4 linked regions of the Saccharomyces cerevisiae S288C genome follow. The gene in region 2 interacts genetically with the main gene of each other region. Each region holds a gene or a part of one and is shown on either strand. Other genes may lie near its edges. The genes, in order: TPN1, UCC1, SNT1 and RAM1.

Region 1 (7,702 bases), on a different chromosome or scaffold from region 2:
ATCTTATTTCCTGTTTATGCTAATTTTTACGCAATTAGCGTGCCTAAGTACAAAAAAATGTTTTGTAAAAAGTATGAAAAAAATTCTAATCTTCGTATATCTTTCTTTCCTGTGTTTATACTTGGAAGAAGCGAAGTATTTTATCCTTGAGTGTGTCTTATTTTCTCTTCCCTTTATTTGCTACTAACCAAGATGGGAGATATCGCTTTTTCGAAGGACGCCTTTGGAATCCGCTGATCTTATTGGTGGACAGTCAGCTGACAGAAAACTTAGATCGTGACAGCAAATTAAACGATTTGTGCTACTGTTCAAAGTGTCAGTATATCACTCGATGATTTCAATTGTCCACCAGGCTTAGATTTTCATGTGAAAAGATAATGTGTACAAAAAAATATCCTCCCTGAGCGTAATTTAACATACCATGAATCTACCTGCCAATATTATCTAAACTAAAGTTTGCCGCTGCACCGTAGTTTTAATATATACTTATGTCATTTCAATTAACGACCAAATTTACGTAGCTCTAAGTATCTACAAGGAGGGTATACAACACCTGAGAACGCCATACTTAACCACATTGCGACATCACCACCATATTCACCAAATTTGGCAGCAATTGGGCCAATCCAATAGGCTTGCGCCATACCAACTACCACACCAGCAACTCCTACAATAAACGCAAATGTTGCTGCATAACCGTGCGTTAAAACCTCATAATCTTCCCATTTGTCCCAATTGTAACGATGTTTAGTCACCTTATGTTTTCTTTTTAACAAATGGATATTAGTAACTGCATCTTTCTCCACTTCTTTTGAAGATCCAACAAGTTCCGGTCCATTTATTTCTCCTGTAACTGTAGGAAACTCTTTGGTGTACAAATGTAAGAAAAACCTTCTGAATACTAAATTCTCTTCGAATAATAAGATAAAGTACATGCTAATCCAGTAGCCTATCATTGGTAGGAAATTTCCCAAAATAGTACTAAAATGATTACGACCTATTAATGCGCATACCAAACAAATTATAGTACAAACAATAGACCAGAACCAGCGAGGGATTTTTGCACAAAACACACTAGAAAGTTGGATGGAGAATGCTGCCGAATACGTATTGATGATGTTGTTGGATACCAAACTGAATACCAGTACTACCACGCAGAACTTTCCGAAGCCGTTCCAACGCTGAAAACCTGCCCAAAGTAGACCACCCATTCCATGGGAATCGTACTCGACTGACCAAGGCTTATACGACATGGCAACAGAAGCTAGTAAGAGACCTAAGATTCCGACGAAACAGGTAGGCAAAAATGTTCCAAAAAACGTTAGGCAAAAAATTTGAATATATGGTGTATCTTCTGGGAACAATATATAATAGTCTGCTGTAATAGACCCCCAAGTAGCCGTAATACTATAGCATAATGAAAAAAAACTCATCCAGTTGCCCTTTCGGGTGGAAGAGTCCAAATTTCCCTTTGAAACGTATGCATTGACGAAGCTGTATTTATCACTTGATGAAATGTACAGTAGTAAAAATGCTGTCAGGACGGGTACGGATAAGTAAGTTTCCACTTTAATGACTTGTTTGATACCGAAAATGGCAACTAAAAAGGAGCATACGGTCACTATGACAATCCCTACCCATAGGGGTACTTTATCATTAGAAATAGCAGCTAACATTTCACCCCCAACCACGGAATTAACCACAGACCAACCCATGACACCGATAATGGAAGCTAATGCAACTAATTTAACAAACCACCATCCGAACAGGTATCTAGCTGTTACCATCTGTCTGCAACCGGACTGCGGTCCCATGATCGAGCAATAGGCAGCAATTAAGCAACCAATTGTTACCGATATTAAACTGGAGGCTACGGATTCTCTAAAGCTTAAACCGAAAAGCAGAGGGCCTAATAAAAACGACGACATGGAAGACAAACCACCTGTGGCACTCAACCATAGCCCCGCGACATGCAAAAATTGTTTCTTTGATGTTCCTCGTTCATAGGGAGATATCCTCTGAATACCGGTAGACTCTACTCCCATTGCGTCCACTTTCTTAGAAAGCCATGCCGCCCTGTTGATAATTCTTCTCAAAATGGACGGACTTGAGTTGGCCTTTTCTGTGGCTATGTTTAAAGAAGAAGCTGCGGTTCCTTCTTCGTAAAATTCTATTACATCAGTAGTATGCTTTGTATGATCTTCTTTGCGCTTTGTTGTGTCCATGTTGTCCCTATTCATCTATGATCGAAGTTTTTCAAGTCCTGTTCTTTGATAAATACTCTATAAAGCTAATAATATTCAACAGTAATATTTTTATACTGAGAACCTCAACATCTGTTCTCTTTTTTAATGGCCTTCTCTTAGACACCATCAAAGCAGCCTGACGCAGAAAATTTCAGGTGAGATAAGGTGCGGCGAACAAATCCGAAATTTACTTACACGCAAGTACGAGTCATACACCTACGGGGCACTGTACTACAATCCATTGTCGAAACAAAAACGGCACTTAATGTTGACTTCTTTTTGAAGTCAAATGCATACGAAAACTCGCACTGCTCTTTTTTCTTGGTGTGTTGACGTATATGTATATATAGGTATGTTAACATAAGGTTCTTACGTCTCTTACTATCAAACTACACGGGAGAAATGCTCATCGCTTGCGGCTTCCCCAGACACTACCCGTAAGATTCTTGTCAATGCCAGTTCACAACTTTGCTCAAAAACATCCTTTGTCGCACTACCCAAATGCGGAGTAATTGAAGTAAGTCTATCAGAAGATCTGATTTTTTCATCTATTTCTGGTTCTTTATTAAAGACGTCTAAACCGAGATGGTTGATTCGTCCCGTTACCAAGGCGTCAGAAACAGCCCGCAAGTCCAAAATTTTACCTCTTCCCAAGTTGACTAAAATTAGGCCTGGATTGCAGTGTTCCAAAAATTTCCTGTTGATTAAATGTTCTGTTTGTGGAGTTCCCGGCAATGTGACCACGATTGCATGAAACTGGTATAGTTTTGCATATATTGTTTCATCTAGCAAATGAAATTTCCAGCTTTCGTTTTGACTCATTGTGCAATCTTCGCTTCTTTTGCAATAATGTATTTCCATTCCTAGCCCGTATTGCAACTTGTAGGCTACTTGCTTTCCAATACTTCCTAAACCAAGAATTAAGCATTTCTTTCCTCTTGGTGATTCAGCAAACATATTCCCCAGTTCATGGCCAAAAGCAAATCCGCTCTTTTCTGCAGCTTTCGCCCTTGCAGTTAATGTATTTCCAGTTTCTCTACTAAGTTTTTGGTAATAGGAGAACTTTCTAAAGCCCTCCAGAATGTGCCACAAGGCACAATCTGCCACATCATTACCGACTTGATGAAGCTTTAAATCGTCTATCAATTTTTCATTTTCATCGTCTTGGTAGTTGTATAATCGAATTTCATGCTTGCGTAATGTATCCAGATCCCATCCGTCGTAACCTCTTGAGCAAAGCACGATACATTTTAAATTTTTCCTTGGAAATGACTTGTGTTCGATGATACTTCGAGTCATCCCACCGATTTTTTTGAATGCCGGAAACCCAGCATAAATGGCACATATTTTGTCTTGTTCATGCCTTTCTAAAAAGTTAAGAAATGCTTCTTTGGTGTCCAGCTGATAGCGCAAGATCCTGAACTTCTCTTTGAATGCCTTGGAATTAAGTGTGGCTGATGTTTCGCACGGATCTGCGATGAAAAGAATAGTAGGCTTTCCAGTCGTTGCAGGAGAATCGCACATTTTTTGTATGCTCTTTTCCTTCTAAATCTGCTGTCAACCCATTGTCGAGTGAAGTTATAAAAGCACAGCTATTTCTATATTCCTTTTACGACCGCCATTACACACGTTCATTGAGGCAAACTTTCCTCCTTCGCGCGTGCGTTTCCCAAGGGTAGTAGTAAGAGCTTACGGAACAGCCCGAAAGGCTGTAAAAGTTTAATATACTTACTGTTCTTGAAATTCTGTCTATATACTTGACTATTTAAAGTTACTATCTTTGGATTTGAACCTTATAAAAAAAAAAAAAAAAGGTACATGCATATTTTCCCTTACAATTTCGAACTCTTAATATTCAATTCTGAGTCCTTTCTGATGAGATCTTGATTGTAAAATTCTTCGTAAATACTTAAAGGCTTATGCAGGTCATCGATGGTAGTGTTCACAGCTAGGTTCTTATTCAATTTGTTGAAAAGATATTTGCCATTTTCTCTTACTTCTATAATATCAGCGTCAACCATCGCCGCTAATAAATCTTTCTTCAAATCTACTATATTTTCGATACCGCAGCAAAGACGAACCAAATCTTCAGGAAAATCTCTCTCTTTCCTTAATTCGGGATCAATGGAAGCATGGGACATTTTGCAAGGCATAGATAGAAGCGAATTTACACACCCGAAAGATACCGTCACAGCCCATATACTCAGTTTTTTGGAACTGACCAGTCTCTTTGAATGTTCGAAGGACCCCGTTTCGAAGGATAACACGGCACCTGGGCCATTATTGAACGATTTATGCAGCTTGAAATCCGGGTTGGAGCGTAATCCAACAAATCTAGTTTTCGTAGCCTTGTTTGTTCTGGTAGGTTTGAATCCGCATGAATTTTCTAGCCAATGAGCCAATATCATAGCATTTCTCTGCTGTTGATATAATCTAACTCCTAGAGTTTTTAGGCCCCTCACAAGTAGCCAAGAATCCATTGGGGATAATCCAGCTCCTGTAGAATTAATGACAAAGTAAAGCTTCGAGGCTATTTCTGGTGTTTTGCTGATAATAACACCCCCCATCAAATCGTGATGACCATTCAAGTACTTGGTAGCAGATTCGTATACGACATCGCAGCCTGGATTCAGTTGAAGAGGATTACAATTGAGTCCACTCATCATAGTATTATCAACGACAACTGTAGTGTCGGGAGATATGCATTTCACAAAACGTAATATTCTAGGGATATCTACAACCTTGCAAAGCGGATTGGTCGGAGACTCTAGAAGAACACAATCAACTTTATCTAAAGACTGGAAAACGGTTTTGAACTTTTCAAAATCGGAAGTGTCCACATGAACAGAGACTGCATGACTCTGTTGCTTGAAAAAATTCAGCAGCCTTTGGGTGCCTCCATAAAGATCATCGCCGGCTATTATTGTTGGCGTATGGTTGTCAGTGCCGTTAAGTAAGACGAGCCCACGCAGGATGACGTCTAGCGCCGTCATACCACTGCTCACAGCTAATACGTTTTCCTGTGGGACACGATAAAGCTTACCAATCTGGTGTTGAAGGACACTTCTGGTCGGGTTTCCCGATCTGGAATAATCGTAGTTCTGTGCATCTTCATTATTCAAGTCCACTTTGAAGGTAGTCGACAAATACACCGGTGGCACGGAGGCTGAATGTTGGTCATTTTGAGAGCCGGTATTTACCACAACTGTATCTAATCTCTTGATCGGCATCTTTTTGCTTCTATGCTTTTGTTGTTTGCTTGATATTTTTTGTTTTTAATGAACTGTAAGCACACAGAGCTATGGGATGTGTGGCAATGACTGTATATATATGTATATATATATATATATATATATATATATTTATTTATTTATTTATTTAAAATATAGCTACGTATGCGCCAGTTGTTTTTATCAGCTTTGCTTCTGGCCACATTTCAACCAGGTCTCAGAGGATATATGGCCAGAAGGCCCCTTTACACACTTTTGAGATGCGATGAGTCTTCCAAGGTAGGAGCATATGCCTCCAACAGACTTCGGCCCGAAGCATGCTGTGCTCACGGGAATTATATTGTGTGAAGCACATGCCACACTTTCCAAAAAAGAGTCAGAATGAGTCAGCCGGATAACCAAACGCGGACTGTGGCGCCACGGAAAACAGTGTGGCAAATTTATGGGCGGCTAATCTGCAAGCTCTATGCCTGGAAATGTAGATGTAATAATCAAGACACTTTTGTTCTTTCGTGTATAGTGCATGAAGGTTAAACCTCCGTAAATTCCTTGAACTCTTCTGGAATTCCAAATTCTTTTCTTATCTGTTCTGGCTTCAAAAAGAATTTCTTGTATAAATAATCAATGAGAATCTCAATGTTATCAGTAGTTTTCTCCAGATGCACTTTTTTTAGGCGGATCTGTTGTTTATTCTCTTGTATTTTTGCTGCATCCCATCTAATGCTTTCTATTTTTTGGAGACTATTACTCTTTTTCTTAATTTCATCCTGAATTTTTTTTCTCTTTTCCAGTAGAGCCTCCCTATTGTATGATTTTTGGCCTACCGTAAATTTTTTACGCCTTCCAGTTGCTAGCGTTTTGTCTAGTTCTTGTTTATAAGTGGCAATATCACACTTTACTTCCTGTATCTTTTTTTTTATCAACTCGCTTGAATCATACAATTTTTGCAGTGTCTGATTTTTAAAGCACCAGTAGATGTTAATATTACCACATTTTTCCACCGAAATGACGCCGTCTTCATCAATCATTTGTTGCACTAAATCTTTAACGATCATGGGTGAGATTCCGCATTTTTTAGGTATGCTTTTCTCTAATTCCTTGATGTTGTAGAATGTGTACGTCTCTTGAAAAAAGTTCAGAATCCGGTTCTTTTTCTCTTGGAGTGATACTGTCTGTCTCTTTGGCCCCTAATAATAAGAAGAGGGTAGCACGCACCCGTCTATAAGTTAGTGTTCAGTCCTGTGTACCATGATGGTTTTATTAGACATACCATTGTTGAATGTTTATGATACTACACATAAAGTTTCCGCCGTTTAGTCTATATCGCAAAGAATAACGGTGGGACGGGAGATCGCCTTTTATATGCAATTTCGTGATCTGGGCGGTTATTTTACTTTTTTTCGACGCATAAAAAAGCAGGAAAGATGGTAAATTCGGTTCGTTATTCAAGATTTTTAGAGCCAGAAAGATATTTGAGCGTGCCTTCGTGAGAAGAGGCTTAGGTTGAGACGATGATGCTGAAATTATGGCAAGACACGAATTCTTCTTCAAGTTTCCCTTGTCATAATAAGAAGAGAAAAACATACCTTTATGTCGGTTGCAATTAAGAAGGTTGTATAGAGCATCTCAAATGCTGCTTTTACTTTATTAAACGTTGACCAAATAATACGGCGCTTTTGTTTCGACAACGACACACTATGATGCAAAGCGGATCCGGGTAATCGATAAATGGGGGCACCCGGAAATTATTGTAAGTTGAAGAAAGTTAGTGTTGATCTCTAAATGCTTCACAAAAGGGTGGAAGAAGAACATTTTCTCTTGATCAATCATTAATATAGATGGAGGCAGCGTTCTGTCAATCACAGATTATAGTTTATTTATACTTAGTCAAAAATGAGGTTTAGGAGTTCTTCCCATAGCTTAAAACATGTTGACAGAGAATTAAAGGAGTTGATTAATTCGTCCGAGAATGCCAATAAATGCGGTGAATGTGGTAATTTCTACCCAACTTGGTGCTCAGTTAATTTGGGGGTTTTCCTTTGTGGTAGGTGTGCCTCTGTTCATAGAAAAGTTTTCGGTAGCAGAGACGACGATGCCTTTTCTAACGTTAAATCACTATCAATGGATAGATGGACAAGAGAGGATATCGATGAATTAGTGAGTCTTGGAGGCAATAAGGGGAATGCTCGGTTCTGGAATCCTAAAAATGTCCCTTTTCCTTTTGAT
Region 2 (7,023 bases):
CATATCGTCTGTGTGGGATGGTGAATCATCCTCCAATTCACTCATGTTTAGCAGCTCATTGAGTGTCAATTCGTCACCGTTATTGCCATTAGAGCTTCCCTCTCTTTTAACATCTGGGGTTTGAGCCCTTTGATGTTGCTCGCGAAGCTGTTGATGTTCTTGGATTAAGGCGTATAATGATTTAGTAGACAGACCATCAATAATACTAAAAGGTTTGTTGTCCGTCTCCCAAGTACCCAATTTTGGTGGACGTAATCCAACAACATTTGAACTTACGATTTCCTTTGCTTTTGAGCCAATGTTTTTTGACCTTGAACTTGGGGGCGGTAGGTTATCATCTTCATCTGTGGATTCGTCATCAACGTACACAACAGTCTCTAAGAGATCATGTTTGCAATCTTTGGATCCATCAGAATTTTCTTTGTCTGAGTTAGAACTTATCAAAGAGGAAGATCCATCGCTGTCGTAATGAAAGTAAAAAGAGTCTGGATCTAAATCATCGATGTCTATGAACACATTTGTCACGCTGGAATCATCGTCGTCGTCTTCGTAATCGTCGTCCAGTTCTGTGCCAATGTCTAAGCTATCTGAATCTAGTGCCCTCAATTCTTCATCCGTGTCAGCATCGTGGGACGTTTCAGATTCACTGCATTCATCATCTGAAGGCATATGGGCAACATCCAACAAAATGTTATCATATTCATCGTCAGAAGAATCATATTTCCCGGAATTCAGGACCGTACTATGAGTGGATGGTTCCAGATCATCATTGGATTTTATCAAATTCGAGCCTTTATTCTTATGTTCAATATGACTTTTGCCCGATTTATGCCTGCCTTTCTTGCTCTTATGGCCACTATTTTCATCATCTGATTGAAAAAAAACATTGAAAATATACTCATCATTGTCCACATTGGAGGTTGTTCTCGTACTAGGTTTTTGCGTCTTTTTATAGAGCTTTCGTCTTTGTTTCCTTTCTTCCTGTTCCCGTTTTTTGGCCTCTTTCTTTTTTAGTTTAGATAGTTTTTCATCATTTAGCATTAACGGTAAAGATGTACTCAAGGATAGCTTTGGCTCTGAACCATCGCCATAATAATAAAGATTTGCAAATTTAGGATCTTCATAAAACGGCATATCAAAATCAGACATTATTTCATCTTCTTCGTCATCTTCTTCATCATATCCGTTTTCTTGATTGTATTCATTTTGCAAAAATTTATTTTCAGCATCTTCTACAGGATCAGACCCTTCTTCGTGTATACTACCATCGAATGAGAGTTCGTCGTCATTTTGTAGCTCAGAAACAATGTTTTGTTCTTCTTCTTCCAATATGGGAAGATCGTCTTCCCCCGTTTCAAGATCTGTACCAATTTCTCCATGAGAATCTTCATTGTTAATCACGTCAAAGTACGCATCCTGGTCAATATCATATTCAGATTCATCTGACTCTGAAATATTGGGAAATCGTAACTCATCGTTGTTACCTAACATCACCTTAGAATCCAGTTTATCTTCTTCATTACCATTGTTCTCTTTGTTTTTTAAATCCAAGACTTCTTCACCTATATCCTCGTTATAGCCTTCATTACCATTACCAAAACTAATGCCGTCGTCCTCTTTTTTGAATTTAAACGATAGCGCCTGTTGTGTAGTAGTAGTGCCTGAACCGTTTACTTCTTTTTTGTTTGATTCTTGTTGTTTTTGTTGCTCTTCTTTCTCTTTTTCTTTTTCTTCTTTCTGCTCTTCTTCATTTTCTTTCTTAGGGGATAGTTTAACTGATTTATTTTTGTTACTGTTCTCACGAGAGGAATAGAGTGTATTGCTATTTGTATTCATGGCAGATAAAGCTTTCATGGCTCTTTTCTTTCTTTGGGCCGTCAGTTTGACAAAATCTATATTCTCGTCATCAGAACTTGTTTCGCTATCACTATCACTATCACTTCCGTCATCATCATCGTCGTCGTCGTCTTCGTCATCATCTTCTTCTTCTTCTTCACTCTCTTCTTCTTCATTTTCACTCTCTTCGCCATCTGTTACAGCTTGGTAATCGGATGACTCTGTGCCCTCGTCGTCATTGTCTATTTGCCTTTGTATAAGTTTACTTTTTTTTCCTTGGGAATTATTTGAAATGTTCTTTGCTTTTCTTTTAATTTTATGTGGGTTTGTACTTTTGTTTTTATCAGAATCAGATACGTCACTCAAGGATGACTCAGAAGAGTATATAAGGCTAAATCTTCTTGGCCTCGTTGTACTCAGTGTGGGTGGTGATTGCCTGGACTTTGTATCGGATTCGCCCTTTTTTATGAGCCTTTTAATATTTGCTGGCAGTTTACCAGAATGTGTACTATGATTGATCGTACTTTTTCGAGGACTTTTTTTGCCTGCCATTTCGTTCTGTTTCCAGTTTGCCGGTTGTTTTTTCCTTATTTGTTTATTTGCTTCCTTGTTGAATTTCCTTCAATTTCAACAAGCTTGAAAATGAATTTCGTAGAATGAATATTACTATGTTTGAAATGGTTATTGCTTATGATGCTCACCGAAGTTAAAAAAAATATTATAGGTTTGTCCTATGTTAGAATTGTGGAAAGGGAGGAATGTAATAAATAAGCAGTAATTAAATATAGCCTTTTGAAGAGTTCCTCCTTTTAATTTCTTGTAGCAAGTGTTTCGAATGTATTCAAATATTACCAATGATTATACAAATACTTACAGCAAGTCAATTAAAGAGCCGTAAAAGCTAAACGTCAAAACGTGTAAAGCACCTATTATCTAGTCTCTTTTCCCTAGTTGTACTTTAAATCAATTTAGTGATGAGATGAAAAAAAAAAAAAAAAAAAAAAGAATTCCAACGAAAAAGAAACGACGGGCAGGGCAACCTTTAGAGATTTCAATCCGTATAAAGAGATGTAGTAGGCAGTACGGGTAACATCGTCACAATTCATAATGGAACTATCTAGCTTTTGCTTGATTGCAAAGTTCTACACCCGTTGATACTTCAAACATCTTTGCAATACGTAGGTAGGGGTCGCGTACTAGCAGCCTCCTAGTTAAGTGTATCTTTCAATCGCATTACGGAACAACTAGGCATCCCGAACCCCACACGGAAAAATCGGAACAATAACTGAAAATTTCCTTTTTCTTTTTTTTGCTCTTCAAAGTCTCTGCCCCTCTATTGCGTACTCGATTGATTTTTTTATCAAAGGCCATCTCAGACAAGTAGATCTACATTGGAGTTTCTCATAATATTATCACTATCGGAAGGTAGCATAACCTTTAATAGAGTTTCCGCTGTTTGCTTGGCTCGTTTTTTTGTTTGTACTATGCCTATTGGCGCAAAGAAGACAGAGTGTGCAAACAAGAGATGAATCAGAGCGATAGCAGCTTGATGGATTTACCACTGGAGATACATTTATCATTACTAGAGTACGTGCCTAATGAACTTCGTGCTGTCAATAAATACTTCTACGTTTTGCATAACCACAGCTATAAGGAGAAGAGTTTGGCGTGGATAGCTGAGGACAACTATATATGGGCCGTTGTCAAACATTCATTATGTTTATATGTCAAGAGTTTGGACCCACTTCGACAGCATGCCAGAGAAATCATTCAAGAAACGAAGGAACCAGGTTTTAATGTGCCACTGTGCATGACTAAATACATCGCAGATTCTTGGTATATTGTATACAATGCGCTGCAATATCCTGGAAAGATAATTAATATGGGATGGGACAAATATACCAAAAGTCAAGATTCAAATGGTTCTGATTCTACCAGTAACTTTAATAGTCGGCCCAAGGAAAGAACTCTTATGCAGTCGTTGACAGCTTTACCTGTTAACTTTTGGTCCAGGAGGAAGGACGAGCCTACACCGGTAAACGTTTGGTTTTATGTAAAAAATGCGCACGTTGCCAGATACATACCGAAAATTATTACGGAAATAGGCATATGCAACTATGGGCCGAAGCAGATCGTGGCAAGTGCAGGATATATCAACGAATTGATAACATCTGAAGGAATATACTGTGTTAACCTAGGCCACCTTCCCAGGCTATACGATGAGCAAATTTTTGAAGGCACTGGAACGACACATCTTCCCCTGGAACTGAAAGCTATCGACAGGACAGATTCAGATGTTTGTATCAATGGTGATTTAGTTCTACTCGGTTATGACTTTATTCCATATCAGATATCGAAGCCGTGGTTACTCTTTAGAATCGAACCCGTAAATAGCATTGAAGCAATCTTCAACTATAGTGAATGTTCTTTTTCATACCAGTTTGCATGGAGTTTGGCCTGCTTACAATCTGAAGAGAAAATTTCATTTCCTAGAGACACGATAATTGGGCACGGTTTACCTTACAAGCCATCCAAATTGATAAGAATTTTCGTCTACAAGCATCCGGAACAAAAGCAAGATCTTGGTCAAGAAATAGCATTGCCCAACTGGAATACCCCTTATCTTCGAAGATGAAAAAAAAATTTATCAATTAGTCTATAATATATGTGTATATACGTCTATGCACCTACCTACTTATAAATGGATATAATATTCTTGCAATGATGAAAATATGTATAGTCAAATTTCATTTTTTTCAATTGATAAATGTACTTTCAATGATGGAAACTCCTTCATCGTCATCGAATTTAGACTTCTGGCAGAATTGGTAAATGAATGGCTTCATGTTTGCCAGATTTTCAGCAATAGACCTAATGAAAGCGGGCAGCTCACTCATTATATCGTACCTATTGACTAATCTTAAATTAGATTCTTCAAAACCACGCGGAAATGAAATGGATGTAGGATATTTCCAACCATTTTGCTTATCCTCTTTTGTAGATGGAAATTTAACAGCATGATCATTTACACTTGACCCGACCTCCAAAATTTTGTCCTTATCACTAACCGCCCATATAGTCACTGTAGTGCTGCCATATTCTTTTGTTGTGGTGAATTCAATACACATCATCGAACGCTTCTCACCATTGAAACAAAGAAAATTCCATTTACTAGCCGCCTTATTGGGTATTAGCCCCTGGACAGCATCCAGATACAACATAGGCGTGTCCTTCAAGTCCAGCTTCACAGGTTTATCGTTTTTCTTGTATGAGATGGTACCATTGCAAAAACCTCTAGGAACAAAAACATGTCTTATCATTTTTCTGGACGTACTAGAAGAGTCTCTTTTTGCTAACTCTTCCAAGCTGATGCTCTTGTCAAGGTAATAATTGGAACCGTCCGGGTTTATTATGAATCCTTCTTGTAAATTTACGGTAATGTCAACCTTCAAATCTTTTAGTAAACAGCTTGTACTTCCCTTCGGAATATCTATCTTAATTAATAATTGAGCAAATCCACTGGAGGAAGAATTTTCCAAAGGTACGAAGTGAAACGTAACATTGTCCGATTCAACTTTTAACGTATCAAAATCTTTGATATTATCAATTTTAAAGCTTTCCCATATATCAATGTCTTCTTCAGAGTTTTCCTCACTGCTGGCTTTAAATATTTTGAAATTTAACTGAAAACCTTTGTATATACCGCCCATAACACTGGAATATAATAGTTGAATTAATCCACATTTGCCGTTGGTGAGATCCGTAAAATACAGAGTTTGTGTCTCTATTCTTGTTTCCGTTGGATTTCTTACTGCTTTTAATAAACTATGTGACTTGAACTTTTTGTGATTTGACGTCCTGCAAAACCATTCTAGTTTCGATGTATCCTGAAATTTAGTATAATTAGCATGATCCTTCTCGGATAAAACTTCCTTAACGGGGGCAAATTTCGTCTTCTCCTTTTTGATCGCAACCGCCATTTTTTCTTTGCTCTATGATTTTTATGTTAATTAAACTGTTCGTTGCCCTAAAATTTTGAAAATTTCTCGAATATTTAGAGAGAATCCGTCACTATTTTAGTATCTATCTTGTCTATTTATATATAAAATCTCATTCCCCTGTTATGGTTTTTGCCAAGCCCTATCCCAAAAAACCAAATGATACATGATAAACCTATTTATCCTCTTTAACAGACCTATCGTTTAAAGCTTTTTTATTGCAAACCCTATTCATTATGGCTTTTTGACCTAGGTCTCATTGTGACTTCTATTTTTCACTGTTCAGTAAAAAAAGAAAAGTGATTAAAAAGTATCACTATTTCTGTTAGAAAGCAAGTAGCTATTTTGATTGGTAATTATATACACATATTGAAGGAGGCCGTAGTATTTTCGTTTAAAATATATTACAGTAAGATAATGTCTGCTACATCTTCAAGTGGTGACGTGAAAAAATTTCAAGCTGTACCAAAACCAACGAGCAATGCATCACCACCACCAGCATCGAGTGGGTTTAACGCAAGGACCCTATGGCCGGATTTGATAGAAACACCAGAAAACCAGTGGGTTTTTGAGTGCAAAGATATTATTGAAAAGATAGGCACTAATGGACCGATAGCAGTGGAAATAAAAAAAAATATGGAAAAATGCTTAATGTACTTTTACACACTTAAAAAAAAATTAAATCTTTTTGATCACACCTATACGGCATCATGCATTCTATTTTACAGGTATTGGTTCATATATGGAATACCTACAGCCATAACTGAATGTATTCATATATCACAGGGAATTCTGGTCACCGCTTGCAAAACAATGGAGAATAATAGGCCTATAGAGGCCTATATTAAGGCGACTTGTGAGTTTTTGATGCAAAATATACCGTCTTTAAAAAGTCGAACAAATATTGATAAACTTAAATGGGAATTTAGAGATAAGTTAGTGACGAATGAAAAAAAAATACTATGTTTATTTGGCTTTGACTTAAATATCAGTAATCCAAAAGAATTGATTGAAGAAGTGTTCAGTGGCTATTATAGATTCAACAGGGATCACAATCTGCCAGAAAACTTTAAAAAAGCTTTTCCAAAAATTCTTCAAGAATCAAGAAATTTTATGGTCCAAGCTGTCACCCAGCCAGTTTCTTTATTGTGCGACGGTTATACGTTCATTGTACTATCTCTCATATACT
Region 3 (9,874 bases), on a different chromosome or scaffold from region 2:
GAAACAAGTATACACAGTACGATCTCCATCCTCGCTGCTCCTTCAGGTAACTATAAGCAATTAACATTAGTGGGAGGAGGCGCTAAAATAACGCCAGAAATGATAAAAAGATCATTGTTGTTATCTAGGGTTAGAGCGGACGATTTGTCAACAAGATTTAACATATAAAAGACTCGGATAAAATTATCTGATGACTGTCGAAAGGAAACGGAAAACTTTTTTCAACGATAACATGTGTATGTAATATATAACAAAACCATCCGGTCTTTTACAATATAATAATAGTGATAATAGTAACAATAGATCCACTAAGAAAAAACGAATATACGAAAGTTGAATACTTAAATTCTTTCAAAGATTTTACACTTACCTTTTTCTTCTGTGTTGAGGTTTTGGTGATGGAGATGGAGTAGGAACGTTTTTCAAGTCAACGTTAACATACTCATTAACCTTTGCGGCAACACCGCCGTGGGCACGCTTTACCACTCTACTGGTTTTGGTGCCTTTACGTTTATAAACGTTAATGTAAAATGAAATAAATAGTACCAAATATGAAGAAATAATGGCACAACCTGCAAAGGTGGCAGTTGTTGAACCCACACAGTCACCACAATGTGGCAAAATTGGGAAATACAAGTGAACTGCTTTTTGGTAGACAGCAAAATATATGAAACCGATATCCAAAACAAATTGGATAATTTGAAATCTGGTAACCCATTCCTTCCACCAGACCCTGATGCCTCTGGCAGCCAAGAAATAGTACCAATACATAACCACGTGAACACCAAGGTTCAATGAAATAGGGACCCAAGAAATAGATGTGGTGCCCATCAATTGGGTGTAACATAATAAGGCAGTAGCGCCATGGTGATAAGTATGCAAAAATGTCAATTTTTTATGTTTTAGCACCAAGAAAAAGGTGTCTATAAATTCAATAAACTTGACAATGTAATTCATGTAATATAATGTAACGAGCGGTTGAGTCCAAGCACCAATATTACAGATAGCGAAGTATAACCCGTGCTGAACAATAATTGGCACTAATTGTTCAACCATAAGCAATAAAAGCGTCAATGAAAGTGAAGTTAAAACCAAATTATGCAATTGGAAAAGGCCATTTAATTTAAATGGTTTCGACTTACTTAACAAAAACCTGCCACCAAAAATAATAACGTAATAGGCAGTGATGGCGTATAGCACAGGGGGCAAAGTGCTTAATGGTAATTCACCTGCAATGAATTGGAATTCGCTTGGAACAAATCTACCGTTAGTTACACGAGTGACGACATCATCGAAATGTTCCCACAACGAAATATTAAAAAATGGTCGCTCCAAAGTTGGTAAATAGTCATGAAGTTGGGGATAACGCTCGAACAACGGAGCAGCATATTGAGTAACGAGTGAATTCATGGCTTCTAGACGAAGATAATTAGTTCAACCTTTTCACTTTGTACAAAATTGCTTGTGGATAATAGTGAAATGAAAAATATTTTCCAATTTTTCATTGACTTTTTCGCGATGTTTATTTCTCTGTGGGTTTTGCGATTTTCAGCAATGGCCGCACGCCAGGACATGTGAATACGTACAAAAATAAAATGTGACATATTTACACGACACTTAAATAAAGTCGTTTAAAATCGGAAAAAACTGTATAATGCAGAAAAAATACGAAATTACAATTATAATTAAAAACTCCTCCCTTTATATATATACATATATATATATATAATATAGTACACTAACACACGTAAGGTAATGTATGCTCGAGAGTTTCACCAACCATTGGATGGAAAAGAAGTAGAGCATATGTATTGCCCGTCTCAGCCGTTTGTTCAATTATTATTTTCCTTTTTAGATAAAAAACTGCTCATTGCATCTGGCGCGGAGGCAACCGCAGCCAAAGCTGCCAACGGATCATTCGAAAAATTGAACTTTGGAGGCGCACGACTTATTGGACTAGTGCGAGGGGCCGGTAAAGGGAAAGTAGGAGTGCCTTGAGAAATAGCATGCTGAAATGGCAGCAACGGCCTTCCATCTGGGTTTGATTGCCCATTCCCATTTACAGGATTTAGTAATGCAGAAATAGAACTCGATCTTGGCGTAGTAATATTCGGTTTTATTTCTTGTACTACAATATTGTTCATGCTGGGAGTGTCTTCGAGCTGTGCTTCGTGTCTTGAAGCGCTTTGGAAAGAAGATTTCATGCTTCGATCCGAATTATTCAATAGATTGCTGATTGTCGTCGATTTACGGCCAATGTCAATTGCATTCCTTTCATTACTGAAGTTTTGATTATTTGTTACTGACGAAGCTGCATCAGCCAACGTGTCAATATGGTCTAAGGGCCTGTTACGCAAATCTGTCACTGTAGGTTCTGCCATTTCTGAACGAGGAAACTGAATAGATGGTAGTCTTGGTGGTGGTAAAGTGGTTAAAGGAGCACTAATTTTAGAAAAGGTATCACGATGAAAATCAGGCCCAAATGGTCTTATAGAGCCATCGATAGATGAAATAGATGTATTATGCCCATGAGTTGGTTGTCCAACAAAATAACCCAAAGCCGGTCTTTGTTGAGGAGGAATATTACTATAGGCATTGATGTTTGGTCGTTCTGGTTGTATCAAAATTTGAGATTGTTGTACAGATTCTGAACTAGTCCCATCTCGCTTTAAGTCGGTTTCATCAACCAGTAATTTCCATCCATTGCGAGCTGCATTTCTTTGGTAGTAATTCCTTACCATTGTAGTAGATTTGGTACCCAGTTTTTCTGATATGAGAGACCATTGAGAGCCAAACTCCTTCAACAATTCTGGAAAGAGTTGAGATTCACGAACACTCCAATAACTTGTTTTATGCTCTGGTGCAGATTTGTGTTTCTTTCTCTGTAACGCATTCTCTAAACTGAAGTCAAGTTCTTTGGTCTCCTCTGGATAATAACCATTCTGAACAGCTCCTTTTGGATCCATTATTTGTACCCCATTGTTGGTTTCTATTACACTGGACTTATTGCTCTCTTCTCCAACTTCATCATGCGCCCTTTTTAAGTCGTTTACCCTCTCAGCATTTTCCAATTCACCTGCAAACTCTTCGCCTCTCTGTTCAATCATATTTTCAACTTTTTCCGGTGTACCTAATGGATCACCTTTCACTTCAGAACCTTGAACTAGAACCGGCTGAACATTTTCCTCGGCATTGTTCTCACTTTTTTCTTCCTTCTCTATCGTGTTCGTTGACTCTTCTTTACTCTCATCAACTTCGACTTCCTCGTCATTACTTCTTTCCTTCCTCTTGCGGCGCTTGGCAGCGGCTGACATTTTTCTTTTCTTGTTCTTATCGATAAGAAGTTGTTTATAATTCACAGTTTTCTTTGTTCTATAATAATGTAGGACACACTCTTCAGGACTTCTTAAGCCGCCCATGTAGTGAGAAATTTTACCAAATTTTTTAGGATGAATTAAATAACCCTCCAAAAATAAAGAGTGCTCATGGTCAGTAAAGTTGTCAGAGGCGTCTTTCAATATTCTAGACGCCCAAAGCTTTTTGTCTGTAACCAAGTTATTTACATCACAGAATTTGTAAGAGTGTTTGCGGATTGGATCTAAAATTAGCGGAGGAATTGTTGCAGCAGCCTGATAATGTTTATAATTTGGGTCGATTTGTAGCAATACATTTTCCATTTCCGCATCATCAACGAAGTCAGCCCTATTTCTGCGACGAGATGAGGAAGACGAGGATGGATGCCGTAAGCTTTTTTCCTTTTCTGTTTCGATACCTTCTTCACGTCTTTTCTGCTCCATTAGTTCGTGCTCTTTACGTTTATTTTCGATTTCTTCCTTCCTTAAATTTTCACTCAGTTTAGTCAAAATTTCGCATTCTTTTTCATACTTCTTCTGGAGATCGAAATAATCATGTTTTAAATTTATTTTTTTCAAATGTTCTTCCTTTTTTATCTTTGATATAATTTTCGTCAAGATAAGTCCGGTAGCCTGCTGATGTATAAGTTTGTTCTGTGCGTAAAAAGGATACTCTGAGAAATTCCTAATTGCCTTTTTCAGTAAGTACTTTTGTTCACTTATTATTTTGTTTCTTTTCTGGTTTTTCAATTCCCATAATCTCGTTTCTGCTTTTGGTAATGGGAAAATACACCCCTCCACTTTTTCAAGAGGTTCTTCGTAACTTTTATTATCATTGTCTACTGTCAACTTTGTTACGTCTGTTTTCAGGGCTTTCGGATCGTATGCTCTTTCATAATCTCTAATTTCTGGGCTTTCCTTCCTTTCAACAGAGCGTGTTAGTTCCTTTTGACTTTCTTTGGAAACTTCGACTGCACTGGCCACTGTTTTTGCCGTCGTCCAAATTTCGTCCTGCTTTCCATCAATATTGATTTTACTTACTTTTTTAGCGCGAGCTTCTAGTTCATCATGCTCTTTCATTTTTACAGGAGTAGGATGTTCCTTTGCTATCTCACGCCCACTTTTATGTACTTCTTTTTTCCCCAATGCATCTTCTTCGCCAACCTTGATATTATCGGGTTCTAAAGGTGCATTAGGTTTAGAAACTGATTTTCTTGGTGGAAAATTGTTATCATGGTACGATATGGCTTTTGTCTCATCTTTACTGGGTGTTTCAACTTTAACTGAAGCCTCTGGTTTGTCCAATTTATTCGCATCGTGAAATTTTTTAGTATGAAGGGAAGGCGATGACTGTGAATGAGTTGATTTTAAAATAGTAGTACTATTTGCTTTCCAAAAAGGTTCCCTTTGATGGATCGAGTTAGTATTGCTGGTGGTCGTCATATTGCCGACATGATTATCAAATGGTGGTCTGGAAGGCGTTCCAATGGATCTCCATTTGTTGCTCCTAGAGTAATAAGAATGAGGGCTGTTATTATTAACAGATGAAACATTATTTGTTTCGAGCTTGTTCGTTACATCAGGACTATAATCATCCATTGATCGAGGTCTCCGAGAACTCCCGTTGGCAACATAAAACGGTGGAGCGTTTGATAATGCCGAGGGAAAGTGGGTAACGTTTGTAGAACTAGTAGATTGAGGATTATATCTGCTCATGGTTTTTCGAGAATAGCGTGAGTTTCCGATATCCGTATTGGTGTGTGTTATGGTGCTCGTATTCATACTTTCCGGAGTTGAACTAGTGGTTGAAGAGGATCTTTCCACATCTGGGTTATAACGGCTTCCAATTTTTCTTGTTGACGAATAAGATGATGACGAAGGCCTACTGACTGAGCTCGGATCATATCGAGATGGCCTGGGTGCTTCGATACCAAACGTGCTTCCAGGTGCCGCTGTAGGAAGAGGTACAGATGCAGTACTGGGAGTTACAGACGGATTTGTTGAATTATCGGCAGTAGGAGAAGATACAAATCCATTATTGCTTGATTTTGGAAAGCTATTCTTGGAATAAACAGCGGAAGGATGCCTTCGGTTAGGATTATTGGAATAATGGTACCTTTTCTTATCTCCAAGCCTTCGTGTAGGTGGCGGATACCCCATGTTTCTTACGCTTTGTTTCTGTTTGCTGTTCTATGCACAAGTTAGTAGGCAAATTATTAAGCAGGCCCTTTCGGAATAATTTAGTGGTTGTATATTTTGCTTGTTAAGGATTCGAGCAATATGACGGCTTCTTTCCCACTGCCTGTCTTAAACAATGAGTAAATTTGAAGGTGGTGCACAAAGTCAATAGTAATCCGAATTTCTGGTCTCTATTAAATCTGCGGTTGCGTTTTGATTTTTACATAATTCAAAGAAGAATTAATCGTTTGTTTTTTTCTTTTACCCTTTTGCCGTTTTCCATAGGCGAAATGGAGAAGAAATACTAGAAAAAAATACCCGGCGTTGGTAATGATATTGGATACGTACGCAATTACAATACTAGATGGGATGAGAAATCAGTTTCAAAAGTAAAGATATAAACTACAAAAATTGAATCATTTAAAGAAAGGCGTTACGATGTGATGCCTAGTACCAAATAGCTAATCTGCCATCTAATGTTCCCGCAATCACTTCTATCTCATGAGGCTCTGCTGTATCCTTGCGTCTTTTCTGGGACAGGTATGTCTTCCCCTGTCCCTTAATGCTAGTTATGGCTTTCCCTTTTTCGGTACAGAGCTGCTTCAGTAGCTTTATCGCCCATTCATTATGAAAATTCAAAAAGAGCTCGTAAATTTCTATAGTTCCATCTTCAAAGCCCACTAGTAGTATTTCCATCTCTTTCCAATAGATATGCTTTCTGTAACCTGCGTCTAACTTAGTGAAGTCAAAAAAATCAATTGAGCTTACAATTTTAGCTGGTTCGAATTTCTTTGATGTATATATTTGTCCATTTAGATTGAAGATCGAAATGGCGTTATTCTTAGTCAATACCATAATGCTCCCTGCATGTTGAGATATTGCGACCTTTTGCGCATCATTTGTTATTTGCCTTACTAGTTCGAAATTAATCATGTCCCAGACATATACTAAGCCGCTGATGTCTAAGGTTAAAAGCGTATTGTAGTCGTGATAACAGCGCATCTCCTTTAGCTCGCATAGGTGCCCAAACATTGTTTTTTTGTTCTCAAGGTTACCTGAAACCGAATGCTTATCTTTACGATATTTCCAAACTTTTATCAGCCCATTTTTATCGCCAGTTATGAATTCGCCCAACTTCCAGTACGCAAACGATGTAATCTGAGCCATATGCGTCTTTTTAAAAATATCTAGTCCAATTTTTAACCAATTTTTATGCACAATTCTCAATGACACTAACGATTCTTCCGTTCTGAAAAACAAGTTTGGGAAAGCGAAGCCCCTCCAGTATAATGAATCGAAGTAACTAGGATCGTGTATAACATAATCGACGGACCTGTTCTTTTCATTCAAATTAAAGATTGTCTTCTCAAATATTGGCTTCATTGGAACCTTACGCCATACCTCTGTTGTTAGCTGTTGAACATTGCAGGCTATTTTTTCCGGATGAGGTTCCTGAAATATTTGTAAAGGCGTTTGACCAAAGTTGTGAATAATGCCTGTGATAGCTCTGCGCTCATTTTCATCGTCAATGTTATCTAGATTTACAGCGCCTGGGTAACTCAATCTGTTGAATACGTTAACAGATTTCACAGCAATGTCCCCCTTTTGTTTGTAACCAAATATCAAATCAATCCATTCATGTAAATGTGCTGATACATAAGGACTTTCTAAAGCTTCTCTATTCTTTTGAATGAAAACCTTTGGGTCACCATTTGCCCAGGGTGGAAGTACGACGTCGTCAACTTTTTTACCGCTTTGGTCTGTACCAAAGTCATAACTATTAACGTTGATCAAAAATTCAGGTAGAAAAAAAAATTCAGGTGTCAATTCCCTGACATCCGTTGTATTTTCAGAAGAAGCAGAGCTCCAGGCCCTTTCAAGCGAACTAAATAAACGATCTGCAGGGCCAAAACTTCCGCCTTGCAATAACAAAAAGGATTCGACAAAGGGCTTCAGCCTTATCAGATATGAAGATACTATCATAGCTGAGGAATAATGCGTGCCATAATGAAATGGTGCGGAATCAGCATTTTCCAGGGAAGCCAAAGCTTCATAACGCTCTATAAACTGTAATTTCCTTTTCTCACTTTGAGCGCCCATAGGTTTCGATAGGTCCCGGTAAGTTTTAGGATTCTCTAAATCGAGTACGTTACTTTCGTAATCTGCAATAACCCACGGAAACACTGGATATTGGGTCAAATCGTTGAATGACCTTCCCGCTAGGATGTTGATACTCAACAGGTAATAAAAATTAGAAATCTCTCCCCTAACCCATTTTTTGCTGATCTCAAATCCATCTATTAGGCTGTTGTTCGCTGAGAAGACGCTAGTGAATTTAGAAGCAATGCTTGCCTTTCCTATTCCATTTCTTGCCACTATACTATTTCCTCGGTCGTTTATTTCTTGTAAAACGCTTGAAAAAATTGGATCTGCTGGAAGGTGCTTCGGGATCTTATTCAGTACCCGTAAAACGTCATCTCTCACTCTTTTGTTGTAAAAACTAAAAAAAGCGCTAACTCTCTCTTTGAACAATAATTCGATGGCGACATCCCGAAGTAGAAAGGGTCGTTTGGTAACGAAAGTGATATCGAGAAGTTTCCAAACAAAGACTTCGTGCTTTAGGAAAGTTGATACCCTTTTAACATCAGGGCCGTTAATTAAGCTAACCGTCATATCCCGTGATTCTTGCGATACTTCTGATAATTTTAGAATCTTTTTATCCTCTAAACTAAAATAGTAATCACTTACAAAGTAAAGGTAATTACTGCCATGAATTAAAATCCCCTCCTTAATTTCTAATCCAATAATCAAACTGCAATTCCAAATAGTTGCAATGGAATCGTTATCCTTCAAAAGTCTAAGAATTTTTCTATTCTCATTCAAATCTCCAACTGGCTCCGACTCAAGAGTCTCCATATGTTCGATAAATTCGTAGGATAAAATGCTTCCACTTTCTCTCCTTTGTCTGTTACCACCTGTTATAGTATCTTGATTAGCATCTTCCTCGTTAATGAGTGGTTCATATTTTGGTTCCCAAGCAGGCAAAAGCCTCCGTTTCATCCCATCAAAATCTTCTGCAAAGTCCGATGACCACTTGCAGGACGAATTTGGATTTGATTGTATCTCCAGTGTATGTTTCAGATGAAAAATCAAAAGATTTAAATTATTTCGATAGAAAACTGCATTTTCTTCTCTATCCGTTTTGAGGTTGTAAGTGTATCTTGATATGGACTTTTTGATTTTAAAATCTAAGGATGTGTTGTCTTTTCTAAATAAAATAAGGCACTTTTTATTGTTTTGGGTGACGTATTCTGATCTTGCATTTTTCCATTCGTAAACTTGGTTTTTGATCTGTCTAACGCTTATTGGAGAAAAATTGTTGTTCTTAAACAAGATATTGGTGACAATGTTTATGAACCGTACCTGTTGTGTATTGTTGAAAAAAAATGGGTATTGTTCAGTTATGAGGTTCATTGTTTCAGAGTTATTGCATGAGAGGATATTACTTAAACCTTCGAGTACTTCACTTTTATTCGCTGGGTCAAAAAAACACGCCACCTCCTTTAGTTTCCTTTCCTTGTTCTTAATGATCACTTTCATACAATTGAAGACTGCTTTGTTGTATCCACAATCACGTAATCTGTTGGCAAAAAATATTAACAATAAGCCAACGGTCTCATTATCACATGCTCCATGTGCAAATAAAACTTCCTGATGCGCCATCAGTGACTCAGAAAACATCTCGTATTCTTCTTTCTCCCAGATTATCTGCTTTAGAGTATTGGAATATATTAAGTTCATTATGCAGATTTTGAAGTCCTGTAACAGTTGCGACTTAGAAACGTTTTTGAAATGGTAAAATGATGATTTATCAATCTGAATAACACAATGCAAGAGACATGTATAACTTGAGAAATAAAAATCTTTAGGCATAACTATCTGTGACGTATCAGGTCGAAATTTGCGAAGAAAATAAAGGAGATTTGACATCGTGTATGGATGCTTCAACATCATCAGGTTCAAATTGTTATTGCTATCTACCAGGTCATTAAGTATTTCGGGTAGGAGTGTCACTATAAATGATAGCTCTAAGTAACTGGAATTGTTCATTACAGTTTTTGGATAAACCAGTTTGTATTCTGTACTGTGACAAAAAAATGTGCTCATATAGACTTCGAAATCATAAGCGGCATATTTCGTAAGAGCACACATTATATTACCTTTAATGAGCTCTGAAATCACTTTTGAAGAGCTCTTGAACTTTGAGATGTCCTCCGATTCATTCAAAGCTATCGAGAGATCTAATAATGAAACCATCACATAACTTTTTTTAGGATCAAATA
Region 4 (7,374 bases), on a different chromosome or scaffold from region 2:
GTACAGAATCACCCCAGGAAACTTAGCTTGTGGATAGCCTGCAATCTTAGGAGAATATACGTATATACGCAGAGTGGTGCCGTATGATGTCTGCACATCATGAAAGGTCTCAGTAATCAACATTGTTTGCTTTATCTACTACCACGAGTTTATTACGGCGTCATTTTCAGTCTGACCCTTCTTTTATATAGTTTCTCCTAGTGAGGTTTTTCCGATAAAATTTCTTCCTGATCTTCACAAAGCATCCAGCAAAGTAGGAAAAAAGCTGAAAACCCGACGAAGGGTACTTGTTGAAAGCCATTGAGGTATTGATGGTTGGTGGTAGTATGCTATCTGAAGATAGGCCACATGATTTAGGTAAAGGAGCTGGCCATCGCTAACTGACTAGTCGTATTCTTCCACATCATGGCAACTTCCTTAATGTATTACCCGAATAACCGCCGAAGCCTCAGGCATTAGAGAAGAAAGAAAAGAACAAAAAGTTATACTACAAAAGGCTCTACACTCCCAGCAGAAAGCTGCCAACTACCGTCAGAATGTCAACTATGTCAACGCCTGCCGCAGAACAACGCAAACTCGTCGAACAGCTGATGGGCAGGGACTTCAGTTTCCGCCACAACAGGTATTCGCATCAAAAAAGAGACCTCGGACTACACGATCCCAAGATCTGCAAGTCATACCTTGTTGGCGAGTGCCCCTACGACCTGTTTCAGGGCACCAAGCAGAGCCTGGGAAAATGCCCGCAGATGCATCTTACCAAGCATAAAATTCAGTACGAGAGAGAGGTCAAGCAGGGCAAAACGTTTCCCGAATTCGAAAGAGAATATCTGGCCATTCTATCTCGGTTTGTTAATGAGTGTAATGGCCAGATATCCGTAGCACTACAAAATCTAAAACACACCGCTGAGGAACGAATGAAGATTCAGCAGGTTACCGAAGAACTAGATGTCTTGGACGTGCGGATAGGCCTAATGGGACAAGAGATTGATTCTTTAATTCGTGCAGATGAAGTCAGTATGGGTATGCTACAGTCAGTCAAATTACAAGAACTGATTAGTAAAAGGAAAGAAGTTGCAAAACGTGTACGAAACATTACAGAAAACGTGGGCCAGAGCGCCCAGCAAAAGTTACAGGTTTGCGAGGTGTGTGGGGCATACCTATCGCGTTTAGATACAGACAGAAGGCTTGCTGACCACTTCTTGGGGAAGATTCATCTGGGATATGTCAAGATGAGAGAGGATTATGATCGGCTAATGAAGAATAACCGGACAACTAACGCCAGCAAGACAGCTACTACACTACCCGGAAGACGCTTTGTGTAGGGCCATACATAAAAAAATGATGCTAGAAAAATTTTGTTCGAAGGAGAGTACTTATGAAAGAAGAAAGGTTTGTGAATATCACACACATACCTCTGCATAGTTTATTTCCCGATAAGGTAGACATATCGTTTCCCTATCTATTTAAGTTTTTTATTCGCTCTCTTTTTTTTTTTTTCTCTGTAACCTGAAAACAAGGAACGGCAAATTAAAATGTTTGGAATACGTTCAGGCAATAATAACGGTGGATTTACTAACCTCACGTCGCAAGCACCACAGACAACCCAGATGTTTCAATCGCAATCACAGTTGCAGCCACAACCGCAACCGCAACCACAACAACAGCAGCAACACTTGCAATTCAATGGATCATCCGATGCAAGTTCTTTACGATTTGGAAACTCACTTTCCAATACTGTAAACGCCAATAACTATAGTAGTAATATCGGTAACAATAGCATCAACAACAACAACATTAAAAACGGCACAAATAACATAAGCCAACATGGCCAAGGGAATAATCCTAGCTGGGTGAATAATCCTAAAAAGAGATTCACTCCTCATACGGTGATAAGAAGGAAGACAACAAAGCAAAATTCTTCTTCTGACATCAACCAGAATGATGATTCATCTTCTATGAACGCTACTATGAGAAATTTCAGTAAGCAAAATCAAGATTCCAAGCATAATGAAAGAAATAAGTCTGCGGCAAATAATGACATCAATTCTCTGTTGTCAAATTTTAACGATATTCCACCCTCCGTTACTTTACAGGATTGGCAACGCGAGGATGAATTCGGTTCTATTCCATCATTAACAACTCAGTTTGTTACCGACAAATACACGGCGAAGAAAACAAATAGGTCAGCTTATGATTCCAAAAATACTCCAAATGTTTTTGATAAAGACTCTTATGTTAGAATAGCAAACATTGAACAGAACCATTTAGATAATAATTACAACACCGCCGAAACAAACAATAAAGTCCATGAAACATCTTCCAAGTCTTCTAGTTTGAGCGCAATTATCGTATTTGGCTATCCTGAATCAATTTCCAATGAATTGATTGAACACTTCTCCCATTTCGGTCATATTATGGAAGACTTTCAAGTATTGCGATTGGGTCGCGGGATTAACCCCAACACCTTCAGAATATTCCATAATCATGATACAGGCTGTGATGAAAACGATTCTACTGTTAATAAATCTATTACTTTAAAAGGCAGAAATAATGAGTCGAATAACAAAAAATATCCAATATTTACTGGTGAAAGTTGGGTCAAACTCACTTATAATTCTCCATCTTCTGCTTTGAGAGCACTGCAGGAAAATGGAACCATATTTCGCGGTTCTTTGATTGGTTGCATCCCATATTCAAAAAATGCGGTGGAGCAATTAGCTGGCTGCAAAATTGATAATGTCGACGACATTGGAGAATTCAACGTTTCTATGTATCAAAATTCCTCCACATCGTCGACATCTAATACACCATCCCCACCAAACGTAATAATAACTGATGGCACTCTTCTGAGGGAAGACGATAATACTCCTGCCGGTCATGCTGGTAATCCAACAAATATTTCAAGTCCAATAGTAGCAAATTCTCCGAATAAGCGGCTGGATGTAATAGATGGCAAATTGCCATTCATGCAAAATGCAGGACCGAATTCGAATATTCCTAATCTGTTGCGAAACCTAGAATCGAAAATGCGTCAGCAAGAAGCGAAATACAGAAATAATGAACCTGCTGGTTTTACGCACAAACTGAGTAATTGGTTATTTGGTTGGAATGACCTATAACAGAAATCGTCCAGCTAATTATTCATGAACATTTACAATACTTCATACATTTATTATTTTGATAACTTTTCAAACAGCATTGTTTTACTTTTGTTTATTGATTTTTACGTAACTGTATATACTTAGACATAATTAAGAAACGTTATCTTTTGTGATAGTTCTTCTTTTTCTTTGGAGAGCGAAGAATGGAATTAATATCATTCTTATTCAATACATTGAACTCTGAGCCTTCAAACCTTTTCTGTCGTGCGCTTAAAGGCGTTTTTCTCAATGGGCTCAGGGATTTCGATGGTCTATTTTGGTCTTGATTCGGCAGGTAAGCTCCGCCCTTCTCTAAATTTTCATTTGACGATGATTGAGCCAAATTGTTATCCAAAACTTTATCCCTATAATATGGGGACATTCTAGGAGAATAATGAAAACCAATGGGATGACTTTGATGGTCAGATACTTGAGAAATGCCTCCATAATCCTTTATTCTGGTTTCACGGGATCCTGGCACACTTTCTGTCATTTTCGGTAATGCCTCAAATTCCCTTTTTTCATAATTATAAACCTCTCTGATTTCTTCGCCACATAGGGAGTGAGTGGTGAATATTCTCGGTGTTTTAGATCTAGTACCCATTGCAGATGATAGAGTATCTATATTGCTGCATTGGTTAATTCGTGCCATTATATGCTTGTCCTCATATTCTTGCAAAGCTGCACTTGATAAAATCAAGTCGTCGTCCACGCTTCTTTGAAATCTCTTAGTTATGATATAATCCAGAATATATTGATGGAATACTATAGCAATTGCTGAAGTAAACGAAACATCAGAAAAGCTTAAAAAAACAATTGCCGTTGGTGAAAAAGACACAAAAAGATTAATCATGAAGTTAGTGGGGATCCATTTTCTTAACTGAAAAAATATCTCATCTTCATTTTGATTAACATGAGGACCGTCATCACGAGATCCTCTGAAAAAATGCTTCAACATAGACCACAAGGACTGCTTATAAATATCTTCATAGTATTCTTTGCTTAGATCCTTCAAGTTGTGTTTAGTGAGGTTTGGGGAGTTGAACTCTTTTTTCAAATGGAAGAGATTGTAAGTCTTAAAGTATCCAAACATGAATTTACAGCTTACGTACAGGTTCAGGGACAGCAGTATGAAAATAGTAAACCTGAAAAGATTATTCAAAAACCTTAAGGTAACAAAATACCAAGATTGAAATGCATAAAATTGATTATTGTTTTGAAAGCTGGATGATATCTCCCATAGATAATCAAACTCTTTTAATTTATTGGATTTAGAAAGATCGAAAGCGCCAGACTTGACGTTTAGTTTGTAATAGTTGGGCTTGATCAAATTGTCCTGCAAGAGTCTTATGATAAAAAAAAGTATTGTTAAAAAATTCCCTAATGGCTTAGCTAGACTTTTAGCATAAGCATCCCAGTTGATCATTTCTAACTTTTCATTTATTACCAACTGCAAGTCTAAAGGAGAAGTAAGTAGCTGATACCACCTCTTCATCCATGCAGATTTTGATTCTCTTTCCTCACCAACTACTTCCGAGTCGTCATATGCTTCATTTATCAAATCATTTGAACCCATTTTACTGCCGAAGGTAAATGTAAAGCTCTCTACTGCACAACAAAGTTTTTTAGGTTGTTCGTTTCACTAACTTCTAAATATTGTCAATCAAACCAGACTTTAAGGAAACTACCACTTGTCCCAACGGCCTCACCCCTTTTAATACGGTGTTAACTTCTTCCTTTATATATTGCAGGGCTATTTTTCCCTCCTTTCGCTATTGAAAGAGATCACTATTCCCGTGCTCTGTTCTGATTAAGTAGGAGGACAAAAACACTTGTAACTTAATCCACCTATTCTTATTATTTCTGGCTAACGTTAGAGGTCTTGAAGCGAAACTGTTTAACATTGTAACTTATTAATCTTTTCGTATAAGCTGTTGCCTGATTAGGAAAGCTTGAAACTGAAACACGCGAAAGTGGCTAGGATAAACCAAGCAAGGGTCCATATCATCGCCGTTCTTATGCAGAAACAACTGCAGTGCTTGTAAAGCTATAGGCAATCAAAGCGTATGCGACAGAGAGTAGGAAGGTCCATAGCTAGGGCTAAATTTATAAATACTGCCTTATTAGGAAGAAAGAGACCAGTTATGGAAAGAGTCGTCGATATAGCGCATGTAGATTCAAGTAAAGCAATCCAACCATTGATGAAGGAACTAGAAACCGACACTACAGAAGCACGATACAAAGTACTACAAAGTGTATTAGAGATATACGATGATGAAAAGAATATAGAACCTGCTCTCACGAAAGAGTTTCACAAAATGTACTTGGATGTCGCTTTTGAGATATCGTTACCTCCACAAATGACAGCACTAGATGCTTCACAACCGTGGATGCTATATTGGATTGCTAACTCATTGAAGGTAATGGACAGAGACTGGCTTTCAGATGACACCAAAAGAAAAATTGTAGATAAGCTCTTTACTATTAGTCCTTCAGGAGGACCCTTTGGTGGAGGTCCTGGCCAATTATCTCATTTGGCCAGCACTTATGCTGCAATTAATGCTCTCTCCCTTTGCGATAACATAGATGGATGCTGGGACAGAATTGATCGAAAAGGAATTTACCAATGGCTGATATCGTTGAAAGAGCCTAATGGAGGATTCAAGACCTGTTTAGAAGTCGGAGAAGTGGATACAAGAGGTATATACTGTGCCTTGAGCATAGCAACCTTATTAAATATTCTTACAGAAGAGCTTACAGAAGGTGTGTTAAACTATTTGAAAAATTGTCAAAATTATGAAGGTGGATTCGGCAGTTGTCCTCACGTAGATGAGGCACACGGAGGCTATACTTTCTGTGCTACAGCTAGTCTAGCAATTTTAAGGTCCATGGACCAAATAAATGTTGAAAAGCTTTTAGAATGGTCTAGTGCTCGTCAATTGCAAGAAGAACGAGGATTTTGCGGAAGGAGCAACAAACTTGTTGACGGTTGCTATAGTTTTTGGGTTGGAGGTTCGGCTGCCATTCTTGAAGCTTTTGGATATGGCCAATGCTTCAACAAACATGCTCTTCGGGACTACATATTGTACTGTTGCCAAGAAAAAGAGCAACCTGGTTTGAGAGATAAACCAGGGGCCCACTCAGACTTTTACCATACAAATTATTGCCTATTAGGACTGGCTGTTGCGGAAAGTTCATACAGTTGCACTCCTAATGATTCTCCACATAATATTAAGTGTACTCCAGACCGCCTAATTGGATCATCGAAACTTACTGATGTCAACCCTGTCTATGGTTTACCAATAGAAAATGTAAGAAAAATTATCCACTACTTTAAATCCAATTTATCTTCTCCAAGTTAACCACATACTATTATATATATGTATTCAATCTCCTTAGCGGTCAGTCTCTTTCCAATTTCTTTCTCTTTACGTTATCATTGTCCTTTATTCGACACTTCGGCGACCGCTTTTAAAACGATAATAACAAAGCGAAATCTTATTGTAACACATCCTTGCTTAATTACATACGAAGCAAAAAGTGAGAGTAAGTTCAAAAACAGCGGGCAATCGTACTCCCAAATTTTGTTGTACCTCATCAATCGGCTTGACTGCGATTTAAACATACCCTTTAAACATGGATATATTTAGGCATACTTTTGGAAATAATGATGATTCCTTTATTCGAATCCCAGGTGCTTTTAGAGAAGAACCACCTGCTGATTTGAATGGAAGGACAGAAGATCAAAACAGCAATACAAATGAACCCACACAGAGCCGGGATGGACGCTTAAAATCAATACTCCATTTTTTATTTCAAGCTCCCCTAATAGTTCTTTATTATTTATTGAATTTCATTGTCCGAAGTTCACGTCTTTTAAAACCTCTATTAAGACTTCACGGATTCTACCAGAGGAAGCACAACCGTTTACTAGACCACAGTTCCCAATTACACCGTCTTTTAGAAAATCTAGAAAACGAAGCTCAAGCTGTAACGTGTTCTGAAGGTAACGGGAATAATGATGATGGCAGCAATACTGACAGTACGAGCAACAATGAGAGCAGTGGGGTCCAGTTTAGTTTTGGTTCTTTATACAACCCTGAAAATGGAACATTTTCCAAAAGCATTATGCAAAATAGTTACACTGAATTATTGGATGCTTGTAGCGAACAAGTGAAATTTGGAGTCATTTATTTACATGACCCATTGTTGGATAATCATATGGATTACGTTA

The links.
Region 1: mutations in UCC1 (region 2) and TPN1 together harm fitness more than expected from each alone (negative genetic interaction), as found in Saccharomyces cerevisiae (one large-scale study listed by BioGRID).
Region 3: mutations in UCC1 (region 2) and SNT1 together harm fitness more than expected from each alone (negative genetic interaction), as found in Saccharomyces cerevisiae (3 studies listed by BioGRID).
Region 4: mutations in UCC1 (region 2) and RAM1 together harm fitness more than expected from each alone (negative genetic interaction), as found in Saccharomyces cerevisiae (one large-scale study listed by BioGRID).

The regions. Positions count from the first base shown.
Region 1 is NC_001139.9:150,537-158,238, forward strand, and holds TPN1 (Tpn1p), read right to left. Parts: upstream 2,241-7,702; coding exon 501-2,240; downstream 1-500. Other genes in the region: YGL185C (putative hydroxyacid dehydrogenase), read right to left, coding at 2,631-3,770; cystathionine beta-lyase STR3, read right to left, coding at 4,079-5,476; MND1 (Mnd1p), read right to left, coding at 6,007-6,663, 6,747-6,749; GTS1 (Gts1p), read left to right, coding at 7,370-7,702. UniProt on the Saccharomyces cerevisiae protein: Thiamine-regulated, high affinity import carrier of pyridoxine, pyridoxal and pyridoxamine.
Region 2 is NC_001144.5:583,103-590,125, forward strand, and holds UCC1 (Ucc1p), read left to right. Parts: upstream 1-3,361; coding exon 3,362-4,471; downstream 4,472-7,023. Other genes in the region: IFH1 (Ifh1p), read right to left, coding at 1-2,388; YLR225C (uncharacterized protein), read right to left, coding at 4,593-5,816; BUR2 (Bur2p), read left to right, coding at 6,252-7,023. UniProt on the Saccharomyces cerevisiae protein: Substrate recognition component of the SKP1-CUL1-F-box protein E3 ubiquitin-protein ligase complex SCF(UCC1) which mediates the ubiquitination and subsequent proteasomal degradation of target proteins.
Region 3 is NC_001135.5:182,128-192,001, reverse strand, and holds SNT1 (Snt1p), read right to left. Parts: upstream 5,514-9,874; coding exon 1,833-5,513; downstream 1-1,832. Other genes in the region: exosome non-catalytic core subunit RRP43, read left to right, coding at 1-168; fatty acid elongase ELO2, read right to left, coding at 367-1,410; BPH1 (Bph1p), read right to left, coding at 5,979-9,874. UniProt on the Saccharomyces cerevisiae protein: Part of the Set3C complex, which is required to repress early/middle sporulation genes during meiosis.
Region 4 is NC_001136.10:294,162-301,535, reverse strand, and holds RAM1 (protein farnesyltransferase), read left to right. Parts: upstream 1-5,206; coding exon 5,207-6,502; downstream 6,503-7,374. Other genes in the region: YDL086W (carboxymethylenebutenolidase), read right to left, coding at 1-123; LUC7 (Luc7p), read left to right, coding at 537-1,322; FG-nucleoporin ASM4, read left to right, coding at 1,533-3,119; NUR1 (Nur1p), read right to left, coding at 3,262-4,716; clathrin-mediated endocytosis regulator UBX3, read left to right, coding at 6,777-7,374. UniProt on the Saccharomyces cerevisiae protein: Catalyzes the transfer of a farnesyl moiety from farnesyl diphosphate to a cysteine at the fourth position from the C-terminus of several proteins having the C-terminal sequence Cys-aliphatic-aliphatic-X where X is Ser, Ala, Met, Cys, or Gln.